Linked DNA regions of Oreochromis niloticus. The protein of the gene in region 1 interacts with the protein of each later gene in a biochemical or structural test. Links are inferred from orthologs where the notes say so. Each region holds a gene or a part of one and is shown in the gene's direction. Other genes may lie near its edges. The genes, in order: ral guanine nucleotide dissociation stimulator and rap2aa.

Evidence for each region.
Region 2: the proteins of ral guanine nucleotide dissociation stimulator (region 1) and rap2aa form a complex in vitro, tested with the Homo sapiens proteins (2 studies listed by BioGRID). The link is inferred for Oreochromis niloticus from reciprocal best matches to the Homo sapiens genes RALGDS and RAP2A.

The regions. Positions count from the first base shown.
Region 1 is NC_031977.2:33,217,367-33,225,656, reverse strand, and holds the start of ral guanine nucleotide dissociation stimulator, read left to right. Parts: upstream 1-4,799; 5' UTR 4,800-5,024; coding exon 5,025-5,213; intron 5,214-8,290. UniProt on the Homo sapiens protein: Functions as a guanine nucleotide exchange factor (GEF) activating either RalA or RalB GTPases and plays an important role in intracellular transport. Interacts and acts as an effector molecule for R-Ras, H-Ras, K-Ras, and Rap.
Region 2 is NC_031987.2:17,417,712-17,426,219, reverse strand, and holds the start of rap2aa (ras-related protein Rap-2a), read left to right. Parts: upstream 1-4,511; 5' UTR 4,512-5,412; coding exon 5,413-5,726; intron 5,727-8,508. Other genes in the region: muscleblind-like protein 2a, read left to right, coding at 1,136-1,263. UniProt on the Homo sapiens protein: Small GTP-binding protein which cycles between a GDP-bound inactive and a GTP-bound active form. In its active form interacts with and regulates several effectors including MAP4K4, MINK1 and TNIK.

The DNA.
Region 1 (8,290 bases):
CTTCACAGCGACATGAAGCAGCACAGACGCCTGACCTCAGCTGTCTGCTCTGCTTAGAAGCTGTCAACCTCAGACGACAGGATGTACAGGAAGCCAGACCTTTTCTCTGTATGACTCACACTCACTCAGGCCTTCAGATTACAGAAATAAGAAAAGATTTTACAGGTTTAATTGTTATTTATAATAGAAGGCAGCTCACAGGTGCGATTAAACTGTGCCAAGATTGGTTGAATGTGTTCTTTAGGCTTCTGTCTGTCCTCAGCTCTGGTTCTTTTATCTGAGGTAGAATGAAAACCTGTGCTCTGTGCAGTTCTGCAGACCATAAATCATCAGCTGTGAACGCCTGGTCACTGAAGTTGAGTTATACAGATTTAGTTGATTTTATTAGGAGAAGGGTTTTGAACGTGAATCTTTATTTTTTCTTGTATTAATCCGTTTATCGTGATTTATGGGCTTGTTATTTTCCTCTTGTTACATAACTCGATATCCAGTCTATGTCTGGCTCTCCCTTTGGCTTTTATTTGTTTCAGGTTTATTGTTTGTGAAGCACTGGAGGAAACATTGAGCGCCTGGCAGCAACCCAGGATAACCACCCAGCTTTAATGCCTTGCTAAATGGCCTCCTGACAGGAGGAATAAAGAACTTTCTGCACTGCTCAGTGTCAGCAGGACTAAAATAAGCCGCTGATGTCACTGCCCTAATTTTAATTTTACCCTCGTCGTGATGGGAATCTTTCTTTGGTTAGTGACGTTTGGATCTGCCCTCCTCACATACTTTTGTGAAACTTCTTCTGTAGGTCGGGGGGTGCAGCCTCTCAGTAAAAGCACGAGTGTTTCTGTGTGAGAAAATAAGAACGTAATGCAGGCTGTTAGCGTCACCGTCCTCGGGGAGCCGTAAAACATCAGCCAGGCCCGCAGCAGCAGCAGCAGCAGCAGCACAACAACATCCTCTGGTGTTGATTTCCAGCAGATGGAAAAAGAGCTTTAGTTAAATCGCAGCAGACTCAGAGTTGGCCGGCCCTCCAGGCTCTGTCAGATTTCTGGGATTCAGCCCATGTGGGTTATTTTGTAGGGCAGATATTAGTACCAGTGCTTGTTATTCTGTGACTTTCAGTCTTTCTGCTGCTCTGTTCTCTGTGCAGATGAAACGGCGAATAGTCACGTCTTGCTCGACATGGGTTACGCTATCTTTCAAACCGATCTACCATCTGGGTCAGGCTTTGTGTTACAACAGACTTTAGGATGTTTTTCTGGCCGTTTTTGCAGTATAGTTTTTGCTGCTCTGTTGTATCTTAATTGCCCCTTGGGGATAAATAAAGTCTCTCTGATTCTGCTTCTGATTAATGATTATAAATAAAGCCTCATGTTTCTGTTGCAGCCTGGTAGAAAAGCACTGGACAGGCCACTGAGGGACTGGGAATAAATTGGCACTAAAAATCTTTAAAAGAATATGGAAAGCGTGGAAATTTAAACATTTAAATAACTGGAAATTTCTATCTTTTTTTAGACAAAAACTTTAATAAAAAGCTTTCAAATAAACATCCTGCAAATTTGTGATAAGAGAAACAGCAACAGCCACATTTGATCATACGGCTGCACGATCAGATGCAGCATTCAGAGCTTTTTATGAGGTCACAGAGCCAATTTGAAAATATGCACTTTAAAAATGGACTCATATGGTTTGATTATTGATTATTATTTGTAATCAAGGATACTTGTAAGTGATTTGTCCAATTAAAAAGGAATGAAGTCCATCCATGCATCCTCTTTCTTCCACTTATTTGAGTCGCAGGTGGCTGGAGCTTATCCCGTAGGGAGAGAGGCAGGATATATCCTGGACAGGCCGCCAGTCTGTCGAAGGACTAACACACGGAAACACACAGCTATTTAGAGTCACAAGTAATCATAACCGCAATGCATGTCTTTGGACTGTGAGGGGAAGCAGAGTACCCAGAGAGAAAACCTGCAGAACTCCACACAGAAATCCCCCAGCTGTCCCGAGGATTCAAACCCAGGACTTTCATGCTGTGAGGGGACAAAGTTAACCACTCTTTTGCCCAAGAGGTACAAGAAATGAAGTGAAATGAAACCAAAACCTTTCTTCAAACACTTAAAACATGTTATATCAGGAAACCTGCTTTTACAGGACCTGGCTCATTGGTGTGGTGACAATAATTGAAATTTGTCTGGAAATATCTCCTTTCCCACTTTTAATCACTGGACTGTAATCTTCCACAGTGAACCATGGCTGTCTTGATTTATTGGAAACTTAAATCTGTGTAAACTTTTAGAAACCCGTGTTGCTCCCTCACTCGTCTTCTTCACGTCGGGCAGCTGCAGATTTCTGAGTTATGAAGCGCAGCCGCTTGGTGAGGAAAGGTCGGACGTGCTTGTGGTTGCATTCAGCCTCAGCTGGTGCGGCAGATGTTTTCCTTAAATTTTCTAAAACGTTTTGACACCTGTCAGTGCCTTGGCGTGGAAAAGCAGTGGGTTGTTTCTAAAAAAATCCAAAAAGAAAAACATGTGAATGAAAATCAAGGTTTAATAATGTAACAGTTAGGTAATGGTTTTGTTCTGCTGTTTAAAGCAGGCTGTGGTGAATTTAAGATTTGTTCTGTGTGATTGGAGACGTTTGTTCCTGACATTGACCAGTAGGGGGCAGCGTTAGACGTTAAGTCTTCAGGTTCTTTCTCTGAAGTCTTACCCTAAAATTCCCCCAAGATGCGTTTGTTGAACCACAACACAAATAAATTCAGTTTACTAACAGGGACTTCCTGATGGTGCTTTCAGGTGCTTTCTGACTGTTAAAGTCAGGTTGTTTGTTTTTATGGTGTGCAGCAGTGCTTTGAAAAGGTGTGTGCAGGATAAGGTTATATAACATTGAGATCTTTGTGTTCAGGTGGTTTCAGTGAGGATTTGTTTCATTTGCTCCTAATTGTTTGCAGCTGAAAAGTTTGGTCAGCGAGCTATTTCGATATTAATCTGTAATTTAGCTCATTTATTTTGGAAAAATTATTCAAGCTTTTCATCTGAGGACCTGCTGATTTTCCCTGTTGTATTTTCTAAGTATAGTAAGATCAGACAGGATGTGTTTATTCTAAAAGTTGGCAAAGAGTTACAGCAGCTTATGACAAAACAGCTTAAACAGACTAGAAAAAGAACAGCGACAAAGCTAAATAGATCAATAGGGTAAAAATTACAAAAATGAAAAAATCTAATAAGTAAAATTTAAAAAGCTCAATAAGTGAAGATCTAAATAAAAAAATAATATAATATACTTCTTGTGTAAAGTAAAAGCGCAATACATTTGATTAATCAAAATAAAACGGAATAAAAATGTTAAACACTAAAATGTAAGTTGAAAAATTTAGATTTTAGACACACAAAATTAGACTTTTTCCCATTTAAATACATATTTATTTGTCATCTTCCCACAAATATGTTTAAAACTCAAACCATTAACCTAAAAAGACAAAAAAACAAAACAAAAACCTAAACAATTATAATTAAATGATCTCTTGAAAGAGCTATAATCTCAGTAAAACTGCTGAAGTGTGACTTAGACTTTTATAACGAGTTATCATACTCACAGGTAATTTGTTTTTTTATATTAATGCATAATCAATCTTTGGAAAACTAAGGGAAAAGTACAAAGTTGCCCTTTTGAAAGGTGTTAGAGCAGCACTGTACTGTTTTAAACTGTACGCCACCTTTAAGCTGTGCTTTAGTGTAACAGTGGAGGAGAAGGTGGGGGAAGCTTCGTGTTGTTTGCTGAGCTGCTCTGGGCTCACGGTAAAAGTGTAACTCCAGCAGACTTCACTGTTTTCTTTTCCCACACAGTCCTCCTGCCACAGTGAAGGCACAAACAGCGCCGTCATTTCCCAGACACATGAGTAAGAGCGGGGGAGTAAGTGCTGCCTTCAGGGACGTCTCGCAGACTCCCGTTTCATACATAACAACTTTATAGTGTGCTTGTGTCGCCCCAGGTTACTTTAGTTACCTAAATTTAGGTGTGATAAAATAAAATGTGGGAAACTTGAAATTAAAGTTAAAAGCAAATATAAACTTCTGTAATTAAATAAAATTATTTTGTGACCTTAGAAAATTAATCACTATAAAATTAAAATGCAGATTAAATAACATTACTTCTGGTCTGTTAATTTGAGTGATGAGGCTTTGGGGAATGTGCTTATTGAGATAATAGGCTGTCTGCATGTCTGTGAGTCCACTGCCGTCACAAACTGTGTTTCTGTTGTAATACTCATTTTAATTTTGTCCCTGATAGAGAACCTCCAGATGATAATATTTAAAAAACAAAGAAACAAAAAAAAACAAACCCAAATCTAAAACTAGGGCTGAAACTAAAAAATATTAAAGTAGAACAAAATATTTTCCAACAATGAAAAAATTAACTGAAATGAGCAAACTCACTCTGTAAACTAACTGGAGAAGAGAAAAATGAAAACTATTATAATTGGACTAAAAAATATAACAACAACAACCGTAGAGTGTTTTTTGTTTTTGTTTTGTTTTAGCACAAAGTAAAAGTCTGATATGGTGACGACCGTAGTTATAAACATTAAAGTATCGTTAATAGCATTTCATTACATCTGTGTAAATGAAAAATAAGTAAATGAAAGAAGTAGTTTGTTCCTTTTCCATGAAGAGTACGTGTTAGATGTTTAACAGCAATTTTGCAAAGTTGTATTCACGTTAATGTAATTAAAGTTATAACTTTTTAAAAATGTGTATAATTTGTGGGATTAAATACAAGACAAAACATAATTTTCGCTAAAGCCATCCTGTGCGTTTGGTTTATCCGACAGCCCTGAAGGCGCCGATAGCTGGGGGCGGGGTTTAGAAAAGCCCCGGTGTGAGTCAGAGCCGTGATAAACTGTACTGAGAGAGGCGATGATCACACAGAAGCGTTAACCTCAGGCGGTAGCGGCAGTGTGTGTCTGTGGGAGCCCTAAAAAAACATTAGAAATGTCAGCGCGGGGGTGTGACTGAACTCTGCGGGCATCCATGGTCTATTTCCCGGGGATGCAAGCCGAGGCGCGTAGCGTCAAGCCGGGCCAGCTGCTCGAGATGTTTGACTCTTCGTGGAGGGTGCGGAACATTTGGGACGGCGTGAGGCTAGAGGTGGTTGAAGACCGCAGCCCGGTGGTCCTGCACAGCTTCACCCACCTGGACCCTGACCTGCCGCTGGTGGAGGTGAGGAGGATGGGGAGGAGGAGGAGGGTGAGGAGGCAAGGAGAGGTCCGTTAGCTGATGCGGTTTGTTGTGTTGTCATGGAGGAGGGTGGATCCAAAGAGGTTTTCAGGCTTCGGTTGCGATTCTGCAGGAATAACACAACACTTGTCCTCTTAAAGAAACATTTTCTTACCGTTAAAACAGAGATTTATGATGTTTCTGCTTTATATCCTCGTATTTCAAAGCTTTATCTACTTTTATGCCCATAAAACATGTTTAAATTTGCGTTAATTAAGCTTACATTCAACATGGTGAGTCACCCAGGTGATGCAATGTGCCATAAACGCTCTAATCCTGTGTTTTTAAGCCTTGTAAACGGATTATCAGTATAAAGCTGCTGATTGGCTGCATCTTACAGTGTTAATACAGTCTCATAACAAACATAACAATACAGGGAAATCTAATATGATGCTGCGGTGCTGCTTGGCACTAGAGTACAGTTACAGGATGACTTGCTTTTTCATGTTGTTATTGAACCTTTCAGCCCTGTGGTTATCACGCCTCCCTCCTTCTGATTCTCTTTGATACTGAAACCCTCCTGTGCAGGTGTTGTTGAGTCAAACCTCACCAAATGCCATGAAATATCTGCACGTTTGATACTGAGAGTGGTCGTTTGTCATTTTGCAGAACGATGCTTTCTGCATCGGTCGCTTGTACTTCTAGGGGTTTTTCCACATGTGCGGGCATACATTGAATCAATCGTGTTATTTACAGTTTCACTAGTTGTTACAGGATGTAGTGGCCTGTTACTGCAGCAACATGATTCATTGATTGGTCAACAAAGTCACCTAACAAAGGAGCGAAGTTAAGATTTTGTTTTTGGTTCTGATCTAATTCATCAGACAAATGTAAACCCATTCAGTTAGTTGTATCATTTTTAGGAAGCTCCGCTGCAGTTCTAAATGTGGCCATGATTACTGTAATTACAGATTAATCTGTAGATCATTACCCCAGCTGTTTGAGTCATTGTTTCGTTGTTAGAATAGTTGTCATGATAAAGATTACACATGGCTTCTTTTGTCCAATCAGCAATCTGAAACAGAAATACTTTAGTGTAATTTCATAGAAAGCCGAAGAAACAAGCGGGTTTTCAGATATAGAAGCTGCAGCCAGCGAATCAGATGCTTTTACATGTTCAGGTCACGATCAAAGTGAATCTAAAAGTAAAAGCACACACGCAGCAGAATGACTTCAGTGTGTATTACATCAAAAACACCCTCCGAGGGAACCGTGAGCCTCTGAGTTCTGGGTTGGGCCTCCGTGGATCGGTCCAGGTTTAATTGAGTGGATGCTTGATTAAATTGGGGTGTAGTTGGTGACGTCATTGTCTGCATTCACTTATTATTTGTGCTCTGATATGTCTGCATCACTGGAGCCGTTAAATCTTGAGCAGCTGTTATTTTTACTGAAATGAAAACAAGAAAAACTGCATATTTCTGCCATTAAAAGATGACAGCATCTCACATTATTAATCATTTACTAATTTGTATTTCGTGTTTTCACTACATATTACTAACAAACAGACCTGTAACAGCTGCTGAAGTGTTTGTGTTGTGTGTACTGTATTTATATTTCTAGGAGGGCTAAAGAGCAGATTTAACACAGTAACGTGAACCCTCTGTTGTCTAAGTCAGCATAGGCGATAAAAACCAACCCTTCACTACCCTGGCCCTAGTTTTTAGAGGTTGGGTTGATCACTGTCTTAGACCTCAGATGGACAATCAAGAATTAGACTCTTGTTTGTGTTCCTATAGAGTTGAATTGTGATGCTAGTAGAGCTCAGATCATAGCCTGTACATGAAAGATGGACATAGCCACTAGTTGGCACTAAAAATGTTAGTTGATTGAACAAATTATTTTTATTTCATTGAAGTACAACAGCAGTTGCCTGCTGGTTCAACAATGTTAGGATGCCACTGGCTGGTGCCCCTGTAACTTCAGTCTCTGTCACGTTGCATGAGCCAGCGCGGTTCAGCAGGACTTCTGCACGGAGCTGTGTGTGACCACATTCAGTTTTTTGTTAATGAGGTTTTAAAGCCTCAGAGTGAACTTTTTCGCTGTCACCATCTTGTTGGTTTGAGATGAGATGGAACAAACTAATGAGATTGAGATATATTGTGCTTTATGGTTTTTGAGTCTGTGTGGCAGTTTAAGTTATAAAATGTATTTTAAAAGACGTAAAACTAACGATTGATACCACAAACTCATCAGGAAAGCGTTTGCTAGGGTCATAGATCAAGTGAGCAGCAGGGGTCTTTATTCATAAAGAATCTGACTAGTCAGTGCAACTAGAAAAGTCTCCCCCTGCTGGGCATTAGAGAGAATGCAGGTTAAATGCTTCACTCTTCAAACACAGGGAGAGTTATCTTATTCTTTAGTAAACTAAACCGGAACATGTTAACATGTTTGACTTTAGAAGACTGAACACACTACAAACCCAATTGCGTGAAAGTTTCAATGCTGTGTAAAATGTTATATTTATGATATGTTTTCTGTGTTCTGTTGTGAATTAAATAGAGGTTTATGGGTATGCAAATATTTTCTTTGCTCTGCAAATTTAGAGCAGTTAATAACAGGAAATCGTCCCTGCAGTATATGAAGATCACGTGTGTTTTGCTTCTCTATCACTACACTGTTTTCATATCTCTAACTCTCATGTTCCCCCCGCCTAGCTGTCCTCTTTAAACCCAGGCTCATAGATATGGTTTCATTGCTAACTATAAAAATTGCCTTTGTTCTGGATTAAATAAACGTTTTCCAGCCTTGTGCTCCATACATCTCGAACATTCGATCACATAAGGTTGAGAGGATGAGTAATCATATTTATTGGTCTTAAACGGAGCCAAGGATTGTATGGCAACGTCACCATGGAGACCATGTATTCCAGTCTGTGTACCTGGATTACATGTTCTCTTCTTTTTACTTTCCGGTGTCTCTTCGGTCAGACTGGACTGGTATCAGAGGTTCATTATTAAACCCCCCCCATTTGGCTCAGTGTGCCCCTGCTGGTCTCCCATCCCCTACTAACCTGTTCTGCT
Region 2 (8,508 bases), on another chromosome or scaffold:
AACATGTTGATATTGCAGGTGCTATGAACTCCGTATATACATTAGGTTAAAGATGTATTAAGGTTTAAATAAGGTGGGGGGATTCTAATTTCAATATAATGTACAGAAATGAACAGGTGACTTTTAGATTTCTCTACAGAGTTCATAGCTTTTTTGCAACCTACCACCCAATCAGATAACAGTATTCCTTGTTGTAGGGGTAATTTTTTTTTCCCCACCTGTATGTATATCAATATGTTTCAAATATTGACCCATCAATGTAGTCCATTATAGCACAATCTGAAACTGTGGCTAGTGCCGGCAGCATCCCGTGAAGGAGCAATGACCATCTTCAGCCAAAATGCTCATTTTAAACTTGTAACCAATGTGACACAGGAGCTTTCAATCACTAGTCTACGCGTGCAGCTCCCCTTTGATACACGGCCACAACACAAAATCACGGTCAAAAGTCTGACGCTGAAAAAAAGGGTTTGAAGCTGATGAATAATTGAAACTTTTTTAAAAACTGTTTCAGTATCTTATTCTTATCTTATTCCAGTGGGGGTTTTTTCTTCTAATTTTTCTATGTAACTTTGCACTGTCCACTTTCTGCTGTAAGAAAACAAATTTCCCACGTGTGGGACTAATAAAGGTTATCTTATCTTATCTTAAAAAATGCATAAAACAATTTATTCAATGTATAAAATAATTCATTTGATTGTTTAAACACATTTTTTTAATATCAAAACTTATAATTTCAGTTCCAAATCACTTTTGCAAATCAATAAAACTTTTAACCTTAAATTAGCTCCAAGGTCAAGCCCCATTTGTCCTTAAGAAATCAAATTGCAGGAAACAGTTTTTATGCAAGTTTTTTTTTAGACCAAACTGATTTTTAAAAATGTGTAAATAAATAAATAATGTTTCTTTTGAAGTTAGGCTGAAGTCGTGGACATTTTTCATGATTGTGGAAAGTATTTTGTGGTGATCTTTTTTTTTGTATATTAAGAGGATAAAGTTCATTTCACTTAAACTTTGTATTTTCATATCACTTAAGAGTGAGTTCCTTAATAATCTTTGTCTTGTAACAAAGGCGATTGTACAGTATACCTGTTGTGTGAAACTACTCAGTGACTTGTCTTTGCCTCCGAAACAGATCATCCTCAAGTAACCGCCAGAAACAGAAGCCAGTGCCGTGTTGCTGCTGTTAAGGGTCCCGGGCAGCCGTTCTGTAAATATTCTGTTAACAATACACACAAAATACAAGAAGCTGCATGCGGATAACATCTCCGACTTTATCTGACATTAATTTGATCTGTGATGATACATTACATGCAGTTATAATGAACCTCTACATTATACTGTGATAGGTGTCAGAGAGATTGTTATTGTACACGCCTTTGCACCTGCTAACATGCACCTTCAACAATCAATGTGCATTATTTATTTGTTTCCTAAACTAATTCTGATAGGGTTATGGGTGCATTTAGCCACCAATCAAACTTAAATACAACAGATGCTACAGAGAAATAAACTGGCAGTAGTGGCATAATACTAAATGAGACGGTAAACAACAGAGATGTTTTAAATAATGTAAATATTTTAATCATTTCTCAGTCTGTAGACAGTACCTGTTAATGTCAGGTGTAAAGGCGTCCTATATTGTAGATTATATTGCAGTTTTATCATCATCATATTCTTTATTGAATGTGTTATTTAAACTGAGAAAGTTTTGTTTTTGATGTTAATGATTGCTCATCTAGTGCCAGATTTAACTTTTAATCAAAGAGAAAAGCACTTAATTTAACTTTAAACTTAACAAAACATTGTGTATATAAAAAAAAATGTAATCTAACAGCAGGTTTATGGATGTCCCTTTAAAATGCTCTGAGTCCCTCTATACTTCACCCAGAGTAATGGATCAGTGCTCCACCTCCTGGTGTGCCTTTGCATTACATATACAGATTGTTTTCTGTCTTTTCTGAGAGAAATGAAATGTTTTATCCGTTCAAAGCAATTTTGTTTTTCTAATTTAACACCTCTTTAGTAAATGTGCATTATTGCTCAAGACAATTGCTGACTCACTGATGGATCTGTAAATACTTTTCACTTGTTCAAGTTGATATAGCCTCCACAGCCATGAAAGTCAGCTCAGTAAGAGTATGAAATTACTGCTGCTCATATTCAAACTAAAGCTCTTGTGATCCTGTGAGGGTTGCGTGTTGAGTAGTGTCTCAACTGTTAGTCTTAATGTTGCAGTCACTTGTCAGTACTGTATTAATCGAAGGTTACAAGTGCCTAAACAGTTGTTCATGCAATGACTAAGTACATTTTAAAATGGTTGTGTGGAAAAACACTCAGTAAATCTATTCCACTTAAGACATATACATTAGGATTAAATCTACATGTTTTTGCAATACCATGTAAATGCAGTGGTATTGTGTGTGTGGACCTGTTAGTTAGGCTTACAGTTTGTTTTCACTGATGCTTTAATGTGTATGTTATTCAATTTAATTTTCAATTTAATTTGATTTTCTTTCATTTTTACGACAAGAAAGTAGCAAAAAGGGTCAAATACTTTTTGTAGTAAAGTAGAATTTAAGGAGGCAAACATTTGGTGACATGTAGTCATGAGAGATTGATGCGGCATGATGCAGTTACTCATTACTGTCTACTATCTAGCAGCAGACAGGGTGGGCATTGTGTCTGATTAAGAGAAATATTGTTTCTTTCTTTTATTAGAATTTTAGTTATCTATTTTGCAAACAAGGTGTACAAATAGAAACCTTTTCTTGAATGTTTTGCATTTCTTCACTTTTTCATTATATATTTTCCTTGTGATGTTTTACATGTCAATAGAATTTACGAGCATAATTGCATATTTTACTAGTGTAACGTTAGTTAAAAATAGTTTTAACATGTATTCTTTTATTTTGTGATGAATGCAATTTATTAAAATTACTTTAGGTCTGCTGAGGGTTTCTCAAAGGACCTTGATCTGTTAGCCTGTTAAAAGCAGTCTTGTGTCCAGGGATTGATGTTGGACAAAGGAGAAACTTAAAGCAATTCATCCTTTTTGCTGTCTTGTCACCTGTAAGGGACAACAAGCCTTTGTATGACCAAGGCCATAGGTTTGATTTTTATGTACAAAAGTGCATCGTACAGGACATGTTTTCCAAAAAAGAAAAGAAGTAATTTTCATAATGGTGTAACAGTAGTTTGTCATTTATTGTCTGATTTGTTGCTGAGGGCAATCCCAAGTTGCAGTGATGAAAACTGTATTTTTGTAGGTGGTAGATTAGCTGTATCTCCTCACAGTAATTAGATTACAAACTTGGATATTTAACTTTATTATTATATGGTGAAACACTGTGGGTAAAACAGTGCATAAAAGAGAACTTTTGAAATGTTAGTTTCGTGTTTGTTAAGGCTTCCCTCTGCATGTTGAGCACCAAACTTAAAAATGTATTTGGCTTTCAAAATATAATTGCTTTAAAAGTTTAGACTGCTATTAGACATACAATATTTCCCCACTTATTTATTTTACTTTCAAAATAAAGGCATGTTTTTGAATGTTTGTGTTACGTTATGGCAAAACGTTTGAATGTCATGGATCCACCTGCACACAGAGGTTGTTTGAGATCTTGATCGCCCAGTCAAAAAGATGTGAACAGTAAGAATGTTTGGTCTGACTGACTGATGGAAACACTTCTCTTAAGCACTTTTTCTACAGTCAGACAACTGAGAAGACAGGCTTTCTGTGAACTTTGCCTTACCTTTGGTGTATTACTGAGTCTGTATTTGTTCACTAATTATGATTTCTTTGTCGTCTAATAAATAGAATAAACTTCACTGAACCTTTCTCTTAAATTAAGATACACACATTTCTAACATGAGGTCATTATTACAGATTGTAACCACACCTGAAATGGCTGATATTGATTGGCTTGTGGGGTTGGCTAGCATTTTATTGCAATCTGTCATATTTAAACACTGAAGCCTCTGGTTAAGATGTCACGCAACAGCTATTTGGATCCATCCTGTTCTGAATGCAAACATTTTCCCCAAAAGTAATTGTATAATTAATCATTTCTTGTGGATATTTTTGTTCCTGTAAATTCTAAATTGTGTACAATCTGATATTAAATATACATAAATAAATATATGAATGTCGTGTAAATGCCATCCTGTGAGCTCTGTTTAATTTTGCAATGCATCAGCAGTAGAAATCACGTGTCATCCTCAGTGAGCATGTTTTCATGTTTTTGTGTTACCCTTTGCTCAAACAGCTGTCCTGTGGAATTGTATTTATCACTATTAATGAAAGCCAAAATAGTCCATTAAAAAGACTTAACTGGCGGTTTCAATTGGAGTGTAGCCTGTATTGCTCAATATCAAAAAATAATAAAGGTTTATTATATTTTTTGTTTACAAGGTGAGTGACTTTTCACTCTCGATTCGGATAGCAGCAAAATAAAAAAAATTTAAATGCAGCGTTACCATAGCAACAGCATCCGGTGCGTTTCACCTCCTCTTGGATACACATCCCCGAGCCGCCTCCGTGATTGGATGAGCTCTCTTTGGATGTCACTGGGGCAACCGAATGATGGGAATTTTAACACATGAACGGAAATGTCAGCGACGAATCTCACTGGCTTCCTCCGCGAGGCTGCCATTCAGGCACATGTGAGGTGTACAGAAAGCGGAAGCGCCCATTGGGCTGTTCATGTATCCATCTGACGAAGGAGGATCCACAGGCTTTTCCTTTTTTCTTCTTCTTTTATTTTTTTGGTGCCTCGGTACGGGAGCCGAGTGGGGACCGGCTGGTAACGCAGCGGCCGCGGGTCTCCACCCGAGAGTATGGCGGCTGGAATCGCACTGGAGAGCGGGGAAGAAGCGGAGACATGTCAGAGATGGTGAAACAGAAACAAATAGACGCAAGTTCTTTAACTGAAAGTCAGGGCACTTTAATTTGGGAGAGTTTCTCTGAGGCGGTCTGCAGCTTGAAAAATTGCGCCTGCAGTTCATTCCGGGGCTAAGCCAGCGTTTTCCCAGTGTCCTCGATGGAGCAAGTTTGTTTTTTTATGAAGCACAGAGAGGGGTGAGCTAAGCAGATGAACACCCGCACGTTCAGCACCATCGGGCGAGCTTCTCTTTCTCCCTTTGCGCATTTTTCGGACACTTCCAGTCCTCGGATGCTCGTATAACTGTCAGTGTCTGGCCTGCATGGGGGGAATATCTACAATGAAATCCATCTTGGGGTGCCGAGTCTTTGTGCTCTGCCATAGCTGAGCAGCAGCGAACAAGACTGTGTTATTGACAGCCCGTTCAGAATGGGACACGAATGGTGAGCGAGATTCGCACGGGAGCATTTTGCGTTGATTTCAATGACGCGCGGAGATTGATACCTTACGACTTGATTTAAATCCCACGATGCGCGAGTATAAAGTGGTGGTCCTGGGCAGCGGTGGGGTCGGGAAATCCGCCCTCACTGTGCAGTTTGTGACCGGGACGTTCATTGAGAAGTACGACCCTACCATAGAGGATTTTTACCGCAAGGAGATCGAGGTGGACTCCTCGCCCTCGGTGCTGGAGATCCTTGACACCGCTGGGACCGAGCAGTTCGCCTCAATGCGCGACCTGTACATCAAAAACGGTCAAGGATTCATATTGGTCTACAGCCTTGTCAACCAGCAAAGCTTCCAGGACATAAAGCCGATGAGGGATCAGATCATAAGAGTGAAAAGGTTGGTGAAATCATGTGCTGGGGAAAAAAAAGAGTAATGTCCATAATGTTAAGTGTGACTGTTGGGGGTTGTTTTTCACACACATATGCTGGACTCATGGGCCCTGTAGTTTCAGGATGGGTCTCGGCCTGCTTGGAGATGTTATGCATCTTTAAGGCAACAACACTCCATGCCTATTATGGTATTCCAGGTCTCACCCATATTCCTTGCCCCCACGCCTCTGACCCAGCATATAAAGTTCCTGCAGACTTTCTAATGTCTGACTTTAGTGTTTACTAACAGGACAACAGTGCTGATCCTTCCTACCCCTCAGCTCTGCGAAGACACGTCTGTCTTCCTGTCAGAGCAAACAAATAGCGTCAGTGATCTGCCAAGCTGCTGTCTAGTGCCGCTCCGTGTCCACTGGATGCTGCAACCTTTGCGAAACACCCAACCGGGAATACCCAGGATCCAGTGCAAGAGAGGCTCTGCAGAGAGCTTTCAAGAAAGAGTGGCTGAAAAAAAACAAAAAAAGCTGCGGGACTGTTGAAAGCACAGATCTGCAGAGGAGTCACCGTGTTTTTAATTAAGAAGCTGCACAAGCTCTTTAGGAAGAGCAGCACAATGGAAAGCCTGATGTCTCAGAGCTGCTGCACAGATGATCCAGATATGAGGTCACCACAGTGAGCTGCTGATTGACACATGGGAGAGGTTAGCTGAGGCTGCGTGGAGCTGTCATGTTATTGGTGTTCCTTTGCTCTAGGCCAATGTACTGTGCAGATACGCTGTACTGTATGCTCTATGCTCACCTGCTGACATAGCATGAGATTATAAAAGTCATCCAGATCAGATTGGTTAATGTCCTGTATTTGTTAGCTCCGCTTCGGTGTTCCAGTGTGCAGGCACTGTGCGCTGGGCTGCGACTGTGTGGGTTCATCAGTCACTGTAGGTGTCAGTGGATTTGTTACAGTTAGTTCAGAGAGTCAAATAGGCTCCGGAGAGAGAATAAGAAGAACCCTACTGAAATCAACTTATAGTTCATACCGTTTAATAATCCAGCTATTTACTATATACTGTAGTTGGATAAGGTTTTTGTCCCTCCCTTGTCACAGTTCTTCCACTCTTCCACCTCAAAATGAAATATAATCATGCTGTGGATGTTTATTTTTATAGGTTGCCTTTAGTTTTTGTCACTTAATTGGATTTAGACCCTTTCTTTTTTCAAATGCACCTTCTAAACAATCCTATTATTATGTGGCTCCAGATGAAAGAATGAGGTCAACATGTTTCTCCCATATGAGTTGAGTACGAGTAGAGGTATGTCGAGTCTGCTGCGTGAGCGTGTGTCGTCTTGTATGTAAATGGTGTGCGCGTGCGCTCACGGGGCAGATGCAGCCAGGCTGTTGTGTTTTCACACCTAACACTGAGTCTGGTGCCGTTGTCTGATATGACAGCAGAATTTATTTTCCGTAGCAGAAAGATCGCCCTCCACAACACTACTCCCACACAGCAGTTAATTTGGTGCTGGGCTTCATGGGGAGTTAGACATCTAAAACTTAGGATTGTGCTTTTTTTTTTTCTTTAAAAATGTCATATTCAATGCGATTATTAAGCTGTGACCCACATTTTGTATGCACTCCTGCTTTCGGAAAGTTCGCTCTGAATGGCAGTGCGCACATTTCCTTCGGTTATTCAGACTTTTTCTAACATCAGCAAATATCGACCTTGTTTGCTACTAACCATGCAACAAGAAACATTTCATTTAAGACCTGGAACGGCTTGCTTTTACTGTGCTCTCTGCTCCTCATCCATGCTGGCAGGATTAATAACAGCTTCTGATGACTGCAGCTGCATAAGGTGACTTCTTTGTTCCTGAAAAGTGTTGGAAAATCTTGTAAATATTAAACAGCGCTCATTCTGTGCTGCTACATCAGTACAAAGACTGGTGACCAGATTGCACACAGGTAAGAAATCCAAATTCAGTGCATCCTGTGTCTGTTGTACAGTTTGTCCATCAGAGGACACGCTGCAACTTCACTGTTGGCAAAATACATACACAGCAGTGTATGTGAGGAGAAAAGCACTGTGGAATAATACAGTAAGTGTTCACTTTAAGAACTTTGGTCAGTAAGATTGGTAAAGAGCTGTTATATGAATAAAGTTTAGCCTATTTGAAGCCAGGAAAGAAAGCCAGGTTCATATATTGATGCATATAGAACAATAAAATAGATTTAAAATATATATAATCTATTCTCCGTGCACACAGGTCTGATGGATCTTTCAGCAATGATGACAAGATTTTCCAGAATACTGATTGATCACTCTGCAGAGATTTAATACCTGTCTCTGATCTTGAGCAGATTAGGTTCACACCATTGCGATGTACACCAGTAAGAAGTTGTCTGCCATTGTAATACTGAAAATCAGACTTAATCCTGAAATTACCTGGATAAGATGAAACCCTGCTTCTTAGTACAGGCCTCTGAAGGTCCAAGCCACATTCCAGCCAATGGTTCCACGTTGTTCTGGGGACGTACAAGTGGCAGTAGCATCATGAGTAACACACTAAAGCTCTACCAGAGAATGTGAAGAGGACTGCAAATGTACATTATGTAACTAATGGGAGTTTTCTATTCTAAAAGCAAATGCATTCATTGCGTTTGTTAAGCCTTATGTGTCCCATTGGGTAACTGCAAATGTAAACAGAAACTATCACACTATCATATGTAACTGAATAAGTACTAAGACTGTCTGAATGATACCCAAAATTAGCAATGTATTCTGGGCCTTTCAATAGTTTTTT